2 linked regions of the Caenorhabditis elegans genome follow. The protein of the gene in region 1 purifies or fractionates together with the protein of each later gene. This does not show direct contact. Each region holds a gene or a part of one and is shown on either strand. Other genes may lie near its edges. The genes, in order: daf-25 and Y116A8C.27.

What was found.
Region 2: the proteins of daf-25 (region 1) and Y116A8C.27 fractionate together in Caenorhabditis elegans (co-fractionation; one large-scale study listed by BioGRID). This does not show direct contact.

Annotation. Positions count from the first base shown.
Region 1 is NC_003279.8:330,417-339,610, reverse strand, and holds daf-25 (Dauer abnormal formation protein 25), read right to left. Parts: upstream 7,008-9,194; 5' UTR 6,999-7,007; coding exon 6,847-6,998; intron 6,766-6,846; coding exon 6,662-6,765; intron 5,821-6,661; coding exon 5,501-5,820; intron 3,903-5,500; coding exon 3,468-3,902; intron 2,047-3,467; coding exon 1,891-2,046; 3' UTR 1,766-1,890; downstream 1-1,765. Other genes in the region: nol-14 (Nucleolar protein 14), read right to left, coding at 8,883-9,194. UniProt on the Caenorhabditis elegans protein: May be involved in the trafficking and dendritic transport of signaling proteins, such as the receptor-type guanylate cyclases gcy-12 and daf-11, to the cilia.
Region 2 is NC_003282.8:17,089,147-17,098,856, forward strand, and holds Y116A8C.27 (ATP synthase mitochondrial F1 complex assembly factor 2), read right to left. Parts: upstream 7,123-9,710; 5' UTR 7,116-7,122; coding exon 7,032-7,115; intron 6,285-7,031; coding exon 6,180-6,284; intron 6,166-6,179; exon of another isoform or gene 6,115-6,165; coding exon of another isoform or gene 6,022-6,114; intron 5,774-6,021; coding exon of another isoform or gene 5,660-5,773; intron 4,988-5,659; coding exon of another isoform or gene 4,934-4,987; exon of another isoform or gene 4,883-4,933; intron 3,782-4,882; exon of another isoform or gene 3,715-3,781; intron 3,564-3,714; coding exon 3,433-3,563; intron 2,599-3,432; coding exon 2,429-2,598; intron 2,351-2,428; coding exon 2,250-2,350; intron 1,815-2,249; coding exon 1,596-1,814; 3' UTR 1,501-1,595; downstream 1-1,500. Other genes in the region: Y116A8C.43 (Lipoprotein), read left to right, coding at 1-207, 259-336, 678-895, 1,449-1,500; Y116A8C.29 (uncharacterized protein), read left to right, coding at 4,934-4,987, 5,660-5,773, 6,022-6,114; bca-2 (Carbonic anhydrase), read right to left, coding at 7,380-7,480, 8,180-8,237, 8,794-8,902, 9,446-9,710.

The sequences.
Region 1 (9,194 bases):
CATTTAGAATATGAACAATTTGGGTAATTGGAAAGTGTCTTCGGGAATCTTTATACATCCGATAAATTCGACTATGTTTATATTCTGAGTAGGATCTTTTTCTCGGGCATAATTGGTGTTCTGTATTCACTTATGATACGTTCGGCTGCGTACATTGGCCAAGAGTGTTCTAGTAAGAGAATTTCATTTAGAATATGAACAATTTGGGTAATTGGAAAGTGTCTTCGGGAATCTTTATACATCCAATAAATTTAACTATGTTTATATTCTGAGTAGGATCTTTTTCTCGGGCATAATTGGTGTTCTGTATTCACTTATGATACGTTCGGCTGCGTACATTGGCCAAGAGTGTTCTAGTAAGAGAATTTCATTTAGAATATGAACAATTTGGGTAATTGGAAAGTGTCTTCGGGAATCTTTATACATCCGATAAATTCGACTATGTTTATATTCTGAGTAGGATCTTTTTCTCGGGCATAATTGGTGTTCTGTATTCACTTATGATACGTTCGGCTGCGTACATTGGCCAAGAGTGTTCTAGTAAGAGAATTTCATTTAGAATATGAACAATTTGGGTAATTGGAAAGTGTCTTCGGGAATCTTTATACATCCAATAAATTTAACTATGTTTATATTCTGAGTAGGATCTTTTTCTCGGGCATAATTGGTGTTCTGTATTCACTTATGATACGTTCGGCTGCGTACATTGGCCAAGAGTGTTCTAGTAAAAGAATTTCATTTAGAATATGAACAATTTGGGTAATTGGAAAGTGTCTTCGGGAATCTTTATACATCCGATAAATTTGACTATGTTTATATTCTGAGTAGGATCTTTTTCTCGGGCATAATTGGTGTTCTGTATTCACTTATGATACGTTCGGCTGCGTACATTGGCCAAGAGCGTTCTAGTAAGAGAATTTGATTTAGAATATGAACAATTTGGGTAATTGGAAAGTGTCTTCGGGAATCTTTATACATCCGATAAATTTGACTATGTTTATATTCTGAGTAGGATCTTTTTCTCGGGCATAATTGGTGTTCTGTATTCTCTTATTATTCGTTCGGCAGCGTACAGTGGCTAAGAGTGTTCCAGTAAAGAAATATTTCCTAGAATTTAAGCAGTTTGGGAATCACACTAAGGAAACTAAAATAATTCTGATACACAGAAATTAAAATAATTATGATACACTTGGGTCCGTTCATATTCTAAGTCGGATTTTTTTGCTCGAACATGATTAGTTTACTCTATTCTCTTAAAAAAATTTTTTTTCGTTCTTCTGGATTTTAAAAATCCGTTAAAAAAACGAAAAAACTTTTGTTTTTAGACTTTTCAAGTATTTATCAGATATTGTAGAACTATGTCTACTTTGTTGTATCATTAGACAACTAAAATGAACCATTTTAGAGGGGTTAAAAAATTTCGAATTTTCGCCACTTTTTATAGTTTTCTTTTTTATAGTATTCGGAGATCAATTTTGAGGGCAAAAAAAATAATTTTTTGATTTGAAAATGTTTTACCAGTTGTCTTTACAAATGAGAATATTGAATTTCTTGGGTTCCTGATTTTTTCATTTTTGTCGATTTACGAGATTTGTGTCGATTTACGAAATGTCGAAATTTTTAATCTTTATTGGATACTCTTTCCGTTTTTCAACGAGTTTCCATCATCAGTTTTTGACGAAGTGGTTTTTTGAAAAGGTTTTTAGATTAATTTTTGGATTCCATATTTCTTAATGCATGTTTTAGTGAATTTTTGTTCAAGGAATGACTTCAAAAATGAATTTATGAAAATGAAATTAAAAGTTCGTGCAATGAGATGAAGCCGAAATATACATTAAAAATAAATAAATTCCAGAAAAAAAGTATATTGAGATCGAAATATCGGCACTTCTACACGTCGATTTTGGCGATTTGAGCCTGAATATCGTCCAGCGACATGGCGGTCTCGTCGGTGGGCGACACTTCTTGTCGCGTTTTCAGAAATGAGCACACTTTTTTGTGAATTGGCCAGTCGAATTTTTGGCATTCTTGGGAACAGTAGGCGAGCTGTAAAAATTGTTGGAATTTAAAAAACGTTTACTAGAGTTAAAAAATGTGTTGCCTGAAATTTTTAAACTCTTTTCCATTTTATCAAAATTTGGAAATTGTTTGCAATTTATAATGAGAATTGAGTTTTTTTTCACTTTTTAGCTATTCTGTTGTTGAAAAATTGGATATTTTTCAGAAAAAATTCTTTAATCGATATTTTGAGGCACCACATTTTCAAGATCTGGCGGAATTCCGGATCTCCGTTTTCCGGATCTACCATTTCCGGATCTGGCACCGTGCCAACTCTTAAAACGCTATTTTTCTCGGAGAAAAACGTGATAACGATGCTCCGTTGTTACGCGTCGCGTGTTGTTAAGCGTTTCTTCTAGAAGAAATTTTCAAAAAACAACGTGCGTCGAGTGAACAAAAAAGCGTTTTGTGCGTTGGCACGGTGCCAGATCCGGAAAACGTAGATCCGGAAATGGTAGATCCGGAAAACGTAGATCCGGAATTTCACCAGATCTTGAAAACGTTGTGCCTCGATATTTTCAGATATAGTTTTTAATTTTCAAATACAGCATATTATAGAAAACTTTTTTTAATAAAGGAAAAACAGGAAATTCAAAAAAATTGAACCTCGACACTTAAAATTTTGAAAAATTGGAAAAAGTATCAGAAATTAATTTTGACTAATACATTTACAGACAAAATGTTCTTTTTTCGATATTTACAGAATGTCTAGAATTTATTTTTGTTTTTTGAAGTTTTTTCCCGGATTTTCAAAGAGTATTTTACGGGAATTTTCTACAGAATGAATTTTTTTAAAAAGTTTTAATAATTCTTTTTTTTAATTTAAAGAATCTTTAAAGAATTGTTAGAGCTGCCAAATTTTGTAAATTAAAAACGAACTGAAATTTTGAAAACTTTCAATTTTTATTCGAGTTTCTCGGCATTTGGCTCTTGCTTCTTGCCCAAGTTTAGCCCAAAAAATGTTAACTTGGATCAGAAGCTGTCTAAACTTGGGCAAAAGTTAGGCAAGACTTTGGCAAAACTTGGATTCAAGCTTTACCAAAGTCTAACCCAAGTTTCACCCAACTCTTGCCAAACTTTGGCCCAAATTTGAAACGAAATAAGAAAAGTTTGGGCCAAAGTTTGGCAAGAGTTGGGTGAAACTTGGGTTAGACCTTGGTAAAGCTTGAATCCAAGTTTTGCCAAAGTTTTGTCTAACTTTTGCCCAAGTTTAGACAGCTTCAAGTTAATATTTTTTGGGCTAAACTTGGGCAAGAAGCTAGAGCCAAATGCCGAGTTTGTGGGAAAATTCATAAAATGTAACGGAATAAAATTTTTTCCATATTTTTAAAATTTGGAATTGATTATTTCCCAAATTCGAGCTTTATTAAATTATTAAATAATTATTTTTAACCCTAAAAACTCCATACTTTGCACTGTGTGCACCGTTTCTTGGCTCCAGGATGTCCGCAAACCGAGCAAAACTGGCAGACCGCAGCGATTCGTTGTCCGAAAAGTGCCTGAACAATGTATTCATAGGCACTTGGTCGTTCACCAATTTGACTTTTTTGCAGTGCTTTTTGTAGAGTATCATGAAGTAATGAATGTTTATACGGGAACGAAGCAACCGCATTTCTCAGCATCACGTCAAGTGCTCGCCTAGTTTCATCGCCCTCTTGCCACGTGGAAATCAGTTTTGCGTACTGTAGAGACGCTTCTTCTGGCGACTTTTCCTTGTTCGACTCCACGAATTTCGAGGTTTCACGCATTGAAAATAGAATTAGCCAAAGCTTGAGCGACATTATTTCATTGCTTTCCTTACATCGAAGCTGTTTCTCGAAGACACGATCGATGACGTAGAGGATCTGGAAAATGGGTGGTTTTTGCTTTGAAAAAAAAATATAAAAAAATAGTGTCCGTTTGTTAAGTAGTGACGTCATAGTTTACAAAGGCAAGGCGTTTTCGGCTGATGGAGGGATATTAGTTTGGGCTTAGTAGTGGGATATGGTCGGGGTACTGTAGTAGTACTGTAGGAGTACTGTAGGAGTACGGTAGGATTACTGTAGTTTAGGAAAAATTGTGTTTTAGTCTTTTGAAGAGATATAGGTTTGGGGTTAGTAGTGGGATATGGTGGGGGTACTGTAGTAGTACTGTAGGAGTACGGTAGGATTACTGTAGTTTAGGAAAAATTGTGTTTTAGTCTTTTGAAGAGATATAGGTTTGGGGTTAGTAGTGGGATATGGTCGGGGTACTGTAGTAGTACTGTAGAGGTACTGTAGGAGTACTGTACATATTTTGGCGGGAAATTCGAATTTTAATTTTTTGAAAACATTTTGGCGGGAATTCAAATTTGAATTTTTTGAAAACATTATTCTGGATTGTTCTAGAACCTTTTGGAAATTTCGAGAAAATTCTGAAATATTCTAGAACCTTCTGAAAATTTCGAGAAAATTCTGTAATGTTCTAGAACCTTTTGGAAATTTCGAGAAAATTCTGTAATGTTCTAGAACCTTTTGGAAATTTCGAGAAAATTCTGAAATATTCTAGAACCTTCTGAAAATTTCGAGAAAATTCTGAAATGTTCTAGAACCTTTTGGAAATTTCGAGAAAATTCTGAAATATTCTAGAACCTTCTGAAAATTTCGAGAAAATTCTGGAATGTTCTAGAACCTTCTGGAAATTTCGAGAAAATTATGTAATGTTCTAGAACCTTTTGGAAATTTCGAGAAAATTCTGAACTATTCTAGAACCTTCTGAAAATTTCGAGAAAATTCTGGAATGTTCTAGAACCTTCTGAAAATTTCGAGAAAATTCTGAAATGTTCTAGAACCTTTTGGAAATTTCGAGAAAATTCTGAAATATTCTAGAACCTTCTGAAAATTTCGAGAAAATTCTGGTTTATTATAACAAAAAGAACACAATTTTTACATTTTTTTTGGGTTTTCGGTTTATTTTAATCTCGAAAAACATTTAACATCAAAAGTTTTTTTTTTAATTTCTAGTTTTTAACAAATTCAGAAATTCGAAAAAATCGATCTGAAAACTACTGATACCTAATTCGATTCAATTTTTAAATTCTGAAAAATTTCAAAAATTTATTTTAATAAAAGTTTTTTTAGTTTCGAATATTTTCGCATTTTCAAACATTTTTTCACAGAAAGAATCATTTCTGAAAATATTTTGAAAAAATCAATTTTTAGGCAAAATTCAGGAAGAGATCTCAAATTTGAAAAACGATGAGAAAAACCGAGAAAAAGTGAAAAATTTTGATTACTAAAAGTTTTTATTTGGTATAACTTTTTTGTTTTGAAATTAAAAAGAATGCTTTATTAAATTTTTTAAAAAACTTTTTGGATTTTTTTGAAAATAAGAATGAACAAAAATGCGCATCTTGAAAAAGCTTAAGGAAATTTCTCAAATTTTCAGATTTTTCGTTTTTTTTCCAAACTACACAGCTATGTACCTTTTTCTTATACTTCAACGAATCGGGATATTTACTGAATCGAAAAATAATCTTAACAGGATGAATCTCATGTGATCCACACAATGAATGAATAAATACAGCCAGCTCATCCGGATATTCCTCAGCTCCTTCATATTTTCCATTCACTTTTGGCCGCAAAAGATCTTCGATCACATCAATTGTTATATGATTATTGATAATTGCCACACACTCGTGATGACCCACAAATGCCGCCAGTTCAGAGGCGGTTTTTCCGATTCCATTCACCAAATACATACGGGCTCCGGAGTCCATTAGCAGGCGGCATACGTCCTGTTTTCCTGCAAACGTTTGACAATTTTGCTTTGAAAAAAAAAGTTTGCGCGTCAAATATGGTGTATTCGAATTTTTTTTTTGGAAAAACTAAGAAAGTAGTAATACGTTAACGCAAAATTCTGAGAATGTGTATTGAGCATATTTGACGCGCAAAATATCTCGTAGCGAAAACTACAGTAATTCATTAAATGACTACGGTAGCGCTTGTGGTGATTTACGGGCTCGATTTTTTTGAAATTAATGATTTTTAATAACGAGCCCGTAAATCGACACAAGCGTTACCGTAGTCATTTAATGAATTACTGTAGTTTTCGCTACGAGATATTTTGCGCGTCAAATATGTTGACCAGTACGCATTTTCAGAATTTTGTGTTCCGGTAATATTTCGAATTGAAATTTGAATTTTTGAGCTTGAAAACGATCAAAAAAAGAAAATAGAACTTTACGAGGATTTTAAATAAAAATTTAACATTTGCGCGTAAAATATAGTGTATTGGTTTTTTTTTTTTCAAATATTGGGGTTCAGCCTAAAAATATTGTAAAAACGGAAAAAAGTTTCAAAAATTTGAATTTGCGCGTCAAATGTGTTGTATTTGGTGCAAAAAAAAATTGCGAATATTGGGTCTCACCGCGAAAACCATAAAATTTCGATGACTTTTCGCTAAATTGAATTTCAGATCAAAAATACGTGATTTGGGTCTAATTTTCCACGATTTTTCACTTAAAAGTTTGTTGTTAGCATAAAAATCGATTTTTTCGGAATTTTTTTTTACTTTTCAACGGTAAAAAACCAGAATTTGCATCAAATTTGACGCAAAAAATTTTTTTAAAAAATTTTTGCCCTACCTGATAAGGCGGCAAACATGAGTGGAGTGTACAGAGTTCCATCGGTTTTATCATTCACATCACATTTCAGCTCAATCGCTTTCTCGACCAACGTAAGATTTCCTCTGAAATTCAACGGATTACGGTATGTACCTTTAAACAATCTGCGAGGATACAGTAACCGTCGCCGCTTTAAAGGTGCATACCTATACGCGGCAGCTGCCAGCACACTCATTCCACTGGGATCCCGTTGAGCGGCTTGTTCCTTCGTTTTCAGCAGTGCCAGCGCTGCTTCAGTGTCATTTTTGTCGATTGCCTCGAAAAGCGGCGATTTGGGAGCTTCTTCCGTTGTCGTCATTTCTGCAGAAAACGGGAATTTTTTAATAATGTCGTGGCGAGATCCAAGGTTTGAGAAAATTGGAAAAATTTATGAGTAATATACAATTTTTTGATTTTTTACAGAAAAACACCTAAAAATCTAAGCATGAATAGGGATTTGGATTAAAATAAAAAATAAAAAAACTAAAATATTGTGAATTTTTATGCCTCTATGAAATTTCGATTTTTCGCGGCGGAGACATGTGTGTCGATTTACGAAATATTTAATCTTTATCGAATGATGATTTTCGTTTTTCGACGAGTTTCATTCATTTTTCCCAATAATTTTTTTAATATTGAAAAAACCAAATAAATGGTTTTCCTGACTGAAAACTGAATATTTTTCTAGTTTTTTGACCTTAAAAAATACACTTTCAAAAAAAAAAAACAAAAAAAAACCAACGAAAATGAAGACAACTCGTAGAAAAACGGAAATCAGCATTCGATAATGATTAAAAACATATCGTAAATATACATAACCCTCGTAAATCGACACACAATTGTCAGAAAGTCAAAATTCGGCGAGCAAATTCAAAAAATTGAAAATTTTACATATAAATGTTTTTAATATCGAAATTGTCTAATAGTTATATAAAATTCGAGTTCTCCAGAACATTCGTCAAAACCGCCACATCTGCCATATCTCTCCAATGACCGGATGAGCCATTAAGGATTTGGAAGAGGAAATGAGAGAAAGGGGCGGGGCGGGGCGGGGATGAGGATACTATGGCAACGGGTGGGAATGATGATAAATGTGTATTCCCAAAATATTCTCGAACGTACGTAAATGCATATATTATGAATATTTCAAAAGGTGCGTATATTTAGAATATATGAACGAAATATTACACACGCAAGCATATTAATTTACGCGCATTTTCGCCAAAAATGGTACAATACAGGGGTGAACGGCAAACGATTTTTTTGGCAAATTGTCGTTTTTCAAATTTTCGGCAATTACCGATTTGCCGGAACAACATGTGCACATCCCATGAAAACATCTATCCTAAAAAGTCAGTAAATTCTATGAAAATATTTAGAGAAAACGGGCAAAAAATTAAAAATGGCAGTTTTAAGTGTTTCCGTCTTATAAAAGATCCCGTTTAAAAACTTCCGGCAAACGGAATTTTGCCGGGATTGAAAATTTCCGGCAAACCGGCAATTTGCCGAACTGCAATTGCCGCCCACCCGTGATTTCGTGGCGAGACCCTTTCCCGAAAGTTTGAGAGTTTGCAGAGTTGAGGAGATGTAAGTGAAGCTAATTACGGAACAACTGTGTGACTCGTAGACTCAAAATTTCCAGAAATGAGAAAATTTCGAGAATTCTGAACAAAAAACTCCATAAATTGGAAATCGCTCTAAGTTTGAGCCAAAATTTGCTGACTTACGAACTATAATGGATGATTTTAGCACAAGAATTTTTTAACCTAAAAAAACTCAAAATTCCAATAAAATCAGATATTCGAGTTAGAGGGGTATTTTCAATGTAAAGTTTAAAAACTTTTTAGAAAATGCGCGAGTCAATTGGAAAACTTCAAAAATTAATCGAGATATTGACAAACGTATGTGAAACGGAAAATTTCAAAAAAATTGAACAAAAAAATTCAGAAAACTCGTTTAATTTTCAATAATAAAAAATGTCAACAAAACAGAAACATATCTCATAACAAAACGAAAAAAAAAAATAACAAAAAATGGAGGAAAAATGGCAAAAAAAATGTTTGAAAAAGGCAAATTTTGACCAAAAATAACATAGAAATCAGTTTTTTGACTATTTTTCAACAAATCGAGAAAAACTGAAATTTAGGGGTTTTTTTTGCCAAATAAAGTCATTTTCAACAAACAAAAAATAGGAAAATTTAAATTATTTCTTGTCCTTCTTCTTCTCAACATCCGCCGTACGCTTCTCCTTATTCCATTCACCCTGCTGCTGCATAAGACCGCCCATGACACGTTTCGTGGCCGCAATTCTCGCACGATCCTTCGTCTTGACACTCGACAATTGCTTCCTGGCCAAGAATGCCGTATCCTTTCTGAGCTCCTTGATGGCTCCGCGTCTTTCGTTCCTCAGATTCTTCGTCAGCTTCTTCTTCTCGTCTTTGGGTCCGTGATGTGGGCGTTCCGGATCGAAATCCCACTCGAAACGGGGTTCCAGCATTTTCAGCATGCTCTTTTC
Region 2 (9,710 bases), on another chromosome or scaffold:
AAGCTTTCACATCTGCCGTACACTGTAAAACGATGTGCTCTCTCGGAATATTTCACTTGGGAAGAGTCTGGAACATTTTTTCCGTTTCAAAAATGCAATAATTTCGTGTTTTTCGGGGGAAATTCCCTCCAAATATTGAATAATACCGATTTTAAGATGCTCAATTGCAAATATTTGATTATCGATTCGAGGGAGAACCTCCGTGGAGTTTGTAGTTTATAGTCGAAGAAATGAACTTTTAAATTCTGAAATTTTCAGCTTGAAAATTATAAAAAAGTAGATGATCTTTCAAAATCACAACTAAACAATGCTCTGCTTCAATTTAAAGAAGAAAATGTAAGCTGAAAATACAAATTTAATTTAAAAATATTTTTGAAATCGAGGTGCAATCGCCCCCAACGCGAAAAGGTCTCGTTTTGGCGGGGAAACTGGGGATTCAAATATTTTGCGACCTTTTTTAGTCTTTTTTTTGTTGCTCTGACCGTTTTTTTAAATTATTTTTCTGCTAAAAATGTAATTTTTTCTGAAAATCGTCAAGAACAACTGAAAAAACGTAAAAATGTTTAAAAAAAACATGTGAAAACGTTTGAATGTCTAATTTTTGCCGCCAATACCCAACGAGATTCCGTGGAGCGCGATTGCACCAACCTTAATTTCGAAAAGGGCATGTTTTCCAGGTAATAGAGCATATTTTCATCTTTGAAATGAAAGAAATTGAAAATTATTTGGATAACCTTCTGAAAATTAGAAAAATATATTCCCTTATTGTATGCCAAATTACGATTCGTGTACCGACGTTTGTCGGGGAAGATGTGATTTGGCAATTTGCAGAGAATATTTTAAGAGATGATTATTATATTTTGTTGAAAATCACCAAAGAAGCAAGTTATATAGAGTAAGTTTGAATTTTCAAAAAAAAATTCAATTTTCTTTCAAAAGTAAAAAAAATCAGTTTTTATGATGAGAAAACCGAATTTTCAATAATTTCCGGTAATATTTCAACGGCACTTCTTAATTTGTACGCGCCTTTTGAAATCGAGGCGCAATCGCGCTCCAACGCGAAAAAGTTGGGTACCGTTAGGAACTGGCGGCAAAACGATAAATTCAAACGTTTTCAGTTATTTTTCGGCTTATTTTCGTTATTTCTCTGGTGGTGTTTTATAATTTTTTTTGTCAAAAAAATTCAATTTCGTCATAAAATGCATAAAAATCACTCAAAAAATCACAAAAAAGTCGAAAAATGCTTGATTTTCCCCGTTTTCGAGAATTTTTCGTATTTTCCGTAAATTTTTATGCCAAAAATCTGTTAAAAAAGTAATTTTGACGAAAAGTGCTCGAAAAACATTTGATTTTCTAGCTTTCCCGTCTAAAAGGTCCAATGTTCGGTGGAGCGCGATTTCCAAATTTGCATTTTTCTACGTCTCCATAATAACACGACATTTTTTCAGGTTCTACTTCTTCGCGAACAATGAATACCAATGTATGATGCGTTATTTATAAAATAATATTTTAATTAAAATGAAGAAATGAATTTAAAAAAAACAAAACAAACAATTACTAAAACAAGCTAAAAACTAGAGATTTTAAAAAAGAAATTAAACAGTTTTTGAAGTGAAATTATTTGAATTAAAATAGACAAAAAGACAAGCAGCCGACAGTCTTGTCATGAGTTCTTCTCTTTCAATTCCGTGAGCCCATTCAACATTTCCCCATGTTTCTGCTTGAGTTCTCTGTTCCAGTGTTGCTGCATCGATTGCTGTGTCTGGGTCGATGTGATGACGAATTGCGTTGTAGGCGATCACGAATGATTTGACCTAGAAATTTTTTTTGGATTTTTTAATAATTTTTTTTTGTAAAATTCATAAAAATTGAATTTTTGTGTTAAAAAAATTTCTGAAATTTTTTAAAAAACTATTTTATTTTTAAAATTTAGAAAATTTTAATATTCTTGTAAATTGCTTCCAATTTTGTAAAAACAAATTGAATTTTTTTTCGATTAAAAAAACTAAATAAAAATTTCTTCAATAAAATGATTTTGGATTAAAGAAAGTTGATTTTTTTAGAAGATTTTGAAAAATTAATTGCAAAAAATTTTTTTGGTAAAATGTTTTGGATTTTTTGTTGCTTTTTTGTGTGAAGATGTGAAATTTTTAGAGCTTCTAATTCAGAAATCTCATTTCTTAAAATGATAGGTAAGGTAATCAAGGTAGGTAAGGCAGGTAAGGTAGGTAGATAGGTAGGCATCTTACCGATTCAGTTGCATACTGAAGCCCAACAAGAGCCGGGAAATTGTGCTGACGAATCCATCTGTCGATTTTTTCCTTATCGTTCTCGCTGGCCACGTCACAGTCTATAATTTTTTGGAATTTTTATTAAATTTTTTTTATTCGAAAATTTAAAAAATCCCATTTTCCAAAACCACAAATACCTAAAATATTCTCGCTGGGGCGAACTTTAATTCCCAAATCGTTATTCAAATTCTTGATAAGCGGAGCCCATTTCTCCTCCTGGTAGCGATGAAGTTTCGAGCTTTCCGTATTGAAGAACAATACAGTGTCACCTTCCACGTAATCGAGGATTTTTTGAGAAATTGTGTCGCTGAAAATGGACGATTTTTTGGTTTAAAAAAAAATTTAACTACAAAAAAGTTGATTTTTCAAAAAACAAAAAAAAATTGTTTAAAAATTAATAATTTTTTAGAAAATGGAAAAAAACGAGTTTTTTGAAAAAGTCCTGTAAACAATTTTTTCAGAATTTTTTCCAATAATAACAATTTTTTTTCAGAAAATCGAAAAAAAAATTTATTATGGAAAAAAAAAAACATTTTCATTTCAGACATCATATTTTGTTTTTGAAATAAAAAAAATACTTTTTCAGAAATAAATGGAGAAAAATATGTTTTCTTTTTTGAAAAACTTCTAAAAAATTTTTTCAAAAATTCAAAAAAATAGAAATTTATCTTTTTAAAAAATTGGAAAAACGTGGGTTTTTGTAGAAAAATAACCAAAAATCGAGATTTTCAGCAAATCTTTAAAAAAATAATTTTTCCATATTTTTTTAATATAAAATGTTAGATTTTTCTTTAAAATTTATATATATAAAATTTATATAGATTTATTAAGAATCTTAGAATTTTAGAATTTTTTTAAAGATAATTTTTAGAAAATCGAGAAAAATTTTTTTTTTTTTTGGAAAAAATCAACATTTTGTTCTCACAATCAGAAATCTTTTTTTTTTAAATGAAATCTAAAAAGAATAATGTTTTTTTTTTGAAAAATTTCAAAAAAATTAACTTTTCAGAAATGAAAACAATTTTTTTAAAAGAAAATAGAGAAAAGTAATTTTTTTTTGTTGAAAAACTTCTAAAAAAATTTTCAAAATTTAAAAATTAATTTTTTTCGAAAAATGGAAATTTTTTCTCGCATTACGAACGCAGTCTGTTCCAATGGATTATCCTGAGCAGTGAATGCAAGACCAGTCAATCTCATTTGTCCCAACTGCAGAAATTCGTCTTGTGATGACCATTCTTCAGCAATTGCCAGTGCAAGTGGATATGAGTCGAGCTGAAAATTAGAGACTTGAAGCTATGATGACGTCATTATTTAGAAAAATGCGCATTTTGTGTTAAAAATCCCGAAATATTCTGGAAATCCAAAAAAAAAAAACTGAAAGTCACGAAAAATGGCTTAATTCCTTTCAAAATGATAACGACCAATCAGCGAATCGCTCTGCCCACTTTTGACGCTGATTGGTTCACAAAAGTGGGCCGAGCGATTCGCTGATTGGTCGAAGTTAGTCAAAATTGAAAAATCTCGATTTTTCGTTTTTTAAAGGTGGAGTAGCGCTAGTGGGGAAATTGCTTTAAAACATGCCTATGACGTCACAATGACCGAATATCATGATAAAAAAAATTCAAAAAAATTTTCTAAATTTTATATGATTTTTTGAAAATTGAAAAAATCTCAGTTTTTGCCTAATTTCTATTTGAATTACCGCCAATTGGATTTGTTCGATGGAGCGCGCTTGCACGTTTTTAAATTTATTTATTTTATTTATTGTTATTTTCCACCGATTTTTATAATTTCGGTGTTTTTTTGCTCGAATTTTAAAGAAAAAGTCAAAATAAATGCAAATTTTCGATTAAAAAGCACGCTTACTGGCGTAAATCAGTGAAATTAATTAATTCAGGCTCGAAATCGTTTAAAATCGTTACTTTTTCATTTTTACGCCTGTAAGCGTGCTTTTTAATCGGAAATTTGCATTTATCTTGACTTTTTCTCTTAAATTCAAGCAAAAATACACTGAAAACATTAAAAATCGGTGGAAAATAACAATAAATAAAATAAATAAATTTAAAAACGTGCAAGCGCGCTCCATCGAACAAATCCAATTGGCGGAAATTCAAATAGGAATTAGGCAAAAACTGAGATTTTTTCAATTTTCAAAAAATCATATAAAATTTAGAAAATTTTTTTGAATTTTTTTATCATGATATTCGGTCATTGTGACGTCATAGGCATGTTTTAAAGCAATTTCCCCACACTGGCGCTACTCCACCTTTAGTGTAATTTTTCGGAAATTTCGATTTTTTTTTGGATTTTTCTTAACTGATTTTTGAAGTAAAAGTAAACATTTTTTGGAAAACCAAACAATTTCATTTTTGTTCCGTTTTTGACTTTTTTCTTTGAAACTCAATACAATTTGCCATCATCATCATGTGTCATTGTACCTATGTAAATATTACTTTCATTCTCTGCGTCTCCCCTGAAATTTTTCAATTTTTTGCCTGCGGTCAGTGTGAAAGTGTAAAAGCAAACTTTTCTGGTATTTGCATAATTTTTTTCGCGGCCGTTTTTTTTTGTTTTAAAATTATTTTATTCTTTTTAGAAGCTTCAGAGGAATGTTTTCTTAATTTTCTTGACAATTCGAAGAAATGACTCTCCACAACATTGCATTGCACCTTCTCCCGGTTTTTATTTTCGCTATTGTAAGTTACTTTTTACTTAAAAAAGGGTCTCGACACGCACAATTTTTTGTGCGCCTTTAAAAATTATTGTAGTTTTTTTTCAAGTTAACTAAATAATATATTTCTTACAAAAAATTGTTGAAATAACAGTACTCTTCAAAAAAAATCGTGTCGAGACCCGGCACCGTATTTTTGAAAATTTTCATCCGCTCTCAAACGTTACGTCTCGTTAGGTATTAATTAGAATTTCAAATGTTTTGATACATTTTTAGTGTTTCTTATTATTTTTATCTCAAAATGATGCAAACAATGCAATTTCGACATAAAAATATTTAAAAAAAAAACGAAAAACACTTGAAAACCGGTAGAATCAAGCTTTTGTCGTCTTTTCAACGAAGATTTTTTCGTGAAAAATGAAAAATAATGTGAAAAATCTAATTTTTTTTCAATTCGGACGAAAATTGAGTCAAATAGAGTTTAAAAAATCTAATTTTTTACAACATTTGTAATAAATCTATAATTATATGTTTAAGAACGATTTTTACCAAAAAAAAAACGGGCGAAAAATCGAAAAATGCTTGAAAACTGAAGAAATTCACAAAAATAATTTAATTTGATATCCTAACGAGACCCAAAGTTTAGGGGCGGGGCGTTGTTGTCCGCGGAGCGCCATTGCATATCTCAAATTTTCAGTTTCTCATAATTCTGATCTTCGTGTGTCGGAAAGCAGACTCAAAGATTATTTCAAGGTTCTCATCGAGAAGATCAAGCCAAATGTCACTCGCATCCCGGAAATCGAGTTCTGCGGTAATTTTTGATTTTTGGCAAATTAGTTGAAAACTCAGGAAAACCACAAAAACAAGCTTTTTCAAACTTTGGTACTACGACGACCAATCAGCAGCTCGCTCCGTCCACTTTTGACGCTGATTGGTCGCAGTTAACCAAAATTTGAAAAATCAGAATTTTTCGTCGTTTTTTTTGTGATTTTTTGCATATAGGCATATAATTTGGATTTTTTTTAACTAAAAAATCTTATAAAAATAAGATTTTTTCAGACAAATCCCCGTCAATGTGCAATGAATTTGGTCACAAATTCATCAGATTTTATGGAGAAGGAACCAATTTCTGAGAAACCTGTATTTGTTTAACTTTTTCCACTTTTTGTATATATTTTTTTTAAAATAAAAGCTGCTGCTACTAGACATTCCCGTACTTTTAGCACTTGTCCTCCTTGAGTTTTGAGAACACGATGATCCAGAAGAACTTTATGAATTTGATTTCCGGTGCTCTCGTCCGTCTCGTTAATTACTGATACTTCCTGCAAAAAATGTTTGGGTTTTTGGGGAGGAAGTTGTGAAAATTTGCGGTTATCCCCGTAAAAGTTGAATTTTTTCATTAAAAAATTCAGATTTTCTTTTTTTTTTTTTTTTAGAAAATCGCTATTTATTTTTCAATTTTTTGGCGTTTTTCATAGAAAATCGTTACTTTTTAATTTTTTTTCTTCCATTTTTCAATGTTTTCCAAAAAAAATCGCAAAAAAAATTACCGATTTTTTTGGATTTTCATAGTAAAACCAAAAAAGACGATTTTTCTCGATTTTCATATTTTTTAAAATGGAAAATGGAAAATTTTCAATTTTTTGGTTTTTAGAGAAAAAATTTCAAAATCGAATATTTTTGATTTTTTTTGTTGCAGAGGAAAACATTTTTTCTTTTTTTTTAAATTGTTTTTCTGTGTTTACCCAGAGTTCTGATGTGATAAAAATTATATTTTATTAAAAAAGAGAAATTTCTGATTTTTTTATTATTGAAAATCGAAAAAATAAATTCGATATTTTTTGAATTTTTGAGGAAAAATAAAGAAAAAATGAATACTTTTTAAATAATTTTCGATGTTACATAGAAAAACGTTCAAAAATGGCACTTTTTGATGTTAAAAAAAAATGCAATTTCGTTAAAAAAAAAGATTTCTGAAAAATATGTTTTTGAAAAAAAAAACGATAATTTTCCGATTTTTAAAGCATTTTTTTTTACAAAACACTCTTTGGAATTTCCTGAAAAATTACCTTATAGAACTTTTTCGGTTTTGTCAGTGCAGAGGCTTGAGCAGCAGCAAATCGCCGAGCAACACGGCCAAGATTGGACGCCATTTGAGCACTGAAATTGAATTTTTCTAAAAAAAAAAATTTAAAATTCAAAATTACAACGATAGGACACTGGACAATGGACAGTTAGTTGAAAAAAATAATTTTAAAAAATTATATTTTTCAAAAAAAAAAAAGTAAATGACTTTATGACTATGGCAAATGCGGGGCAAATTGGAAATTAAATGCAATCTCAAGAAATAGTATGGCAAAATGGGGGAATATTTACACAAAAATCTAAAAATTAAAATAAATGCAATATAATAATAATTAAGTCTGATGCTTTTCGACCTCATCAATCAATTCTTCGACATTCGATTCATCGACCAGAACGAATTGTTTGTTGGGTTTGCTGAACATGTGCATTTCTCCTAAAAAGAAAATCAAATTTTTTTGTGAAAATTAAAGAAAATACACTGCAACTTTTTCCTCACGAGGGACGAGGAAAAGTGGTTTCTAGGCCATGGCCGAAGGGCCAACAAGTTTCAGCGGCCATTTATCTTGTATTGTTTTCCGCCTGTTTTCTTTTGTTTTTCACAGCTTTTTCCCGTTTTTTCTTATCAAAACTAATAAATAAATATTTTTTGCAGATGCTAAAACAATTTCCAAGTAAAAAATTATGTATTCAGTGGGCAAGCAGCGGTGAAAGTGGGCATTGTAATATGATGGATTACGGGAATCCAAAACCTAAACTACCCCTCAGCGGTCTCGTTATGAAAATCAGGTAGTCTCAGCATTTAAGCAGCATATGTATCATGTTTCAGAAAAAGTTTAGGTTTTGGATTCCCGTAATCCATCATATTACAATGCCCACTTTCACCGCTGCTTGCCCACTGAATACATAATTTTTTACTTGGAAATTGTTTTAGCATCTGCAAAAAATATTTATTTATCAGTTTTATTAAGAAAAAACGAAAAAAATCGATGAAAAACGAAAGAAAACAGGCGGAAAACAAAGCAAGATAATGGCCGCTGAAACTTGTCGGCCCCTCGGCCATGGCCTAGAAACCACTTTCCCTCGTCCCCCGTGAATAAAAAGTTACAGTGAAAATAGAAAAATGTATGTATACCAGTGTAAATATCGAACCACATCGCATGAAGATCGACAGTTTGAGACACGAGGAATTCCTGAAAAAATGTGTTTTGAATATGTTTTGAATTTTGAATAAAAAAAATCTATTTGAGGGGCATAATTTCCTATTTCAGAAATTAAAAAAAAAGGTTTTCTCTGAAATTTTGAAATCTAATGAAATCTAACCGTTTTTTATCATAATTTCCTGTTACGGAAATTAAATTTTTTAAAGAATTTTCAAAATCTATTCTAGGAACACGATTTTCCCAGCCGAAGGGTGTCGTTTTTCGGTTTTTTTTTTCTGGGAAATTCGAAAAATCAAAAAAAAAAATTAATTAAAAAACGAAATCTTTCGATATTTAAAAAAATATTTTTAAAAAATGTTCAGAAAAGAAATATGATTTTTAAAATCTAGTTTTTTTTTAAATTGATGAGAATAAACATAATTTCTTCTAAAAAAATTTTTGAAAAAAAAAACCAAGTTTTTTTGGAAATAACAAAAAAAAACTGTTTTTTGTTGTGTTTTCGACAAAATTAATAATTTTTTTCTCTATTTTTCCGCATTTTTCTTCAATTTTCCAGCATTTGACGCAACATTTTTCGGGTATTAACCTTCAAAAATCCATGACTGGCCACATTTTCCAATTGTTGAAGTGTATTAATTTGTGAGAGCTTATCCTCGACATTCAGCTTGTCTTCCGGGTCAATTACTGCCGAGAATCTGAAATTTAGAGATTATATTGTCCATCAATCCGTGAATTTTGCAAGTGCCGCACAGAAAAAGGGGCGGAGTGTAATAATGCCGCGCACGGTTTTTTGTTGATATTTATAGTTTTTTTATCTAAAAAAAATTTAATGAGAAAAATACAAAAAAGCAGAAAAAAAACTGTGCCGTATTGAGCCCCGCCCCTTTTTTTGTGCCGCACTTGCAAAATTCAAAATTTTCGCAATTTTTGGTGCGAAAAAACAATTTGTTCTTCAAACGACAGACAACGAAGCTCCGAAATTACGCATTTTGGAAGTGTGGCACGGAAAAATGGGCGTGATCTCTGTTTTTTCGAAAATTTTGAATTTTTCATGTGCCGCACAGAAAAAAGAGCGGAGTGTAATAATGCCGCACGGTTTTTTGACGATTTTTATAGTTTTTTATCTAAAAAAAAAATTTATTGAGAAAAATACAAAAAAGCAGAAAAAAAAACTGTGCCGCATTGAGCTCCGCGCCCCTTTTTCCGTGCCGCACTTGCAAAATTCAAAGGAGACTCACGAGAACAACGGATTATCACTGACAAACTCAATCGGGCCCGCATTCTTGTCGGCCAGTCGTTTTTCCAATTTCCTAATCGAATTAAATCCATGCCGCCGGAGCCAATGATCCATTGGTGATTCTGGATCAAATGATTTTGGACATTTATGAAGATTATATAAAGTATTGATTGCTTTACAATCCGAATGTCCACACACAATTACATGATTGATTTTTCCACGTTTTACTGCCAACTCGAGTGCCGCTGGTTCAGTTGTTACAGAGA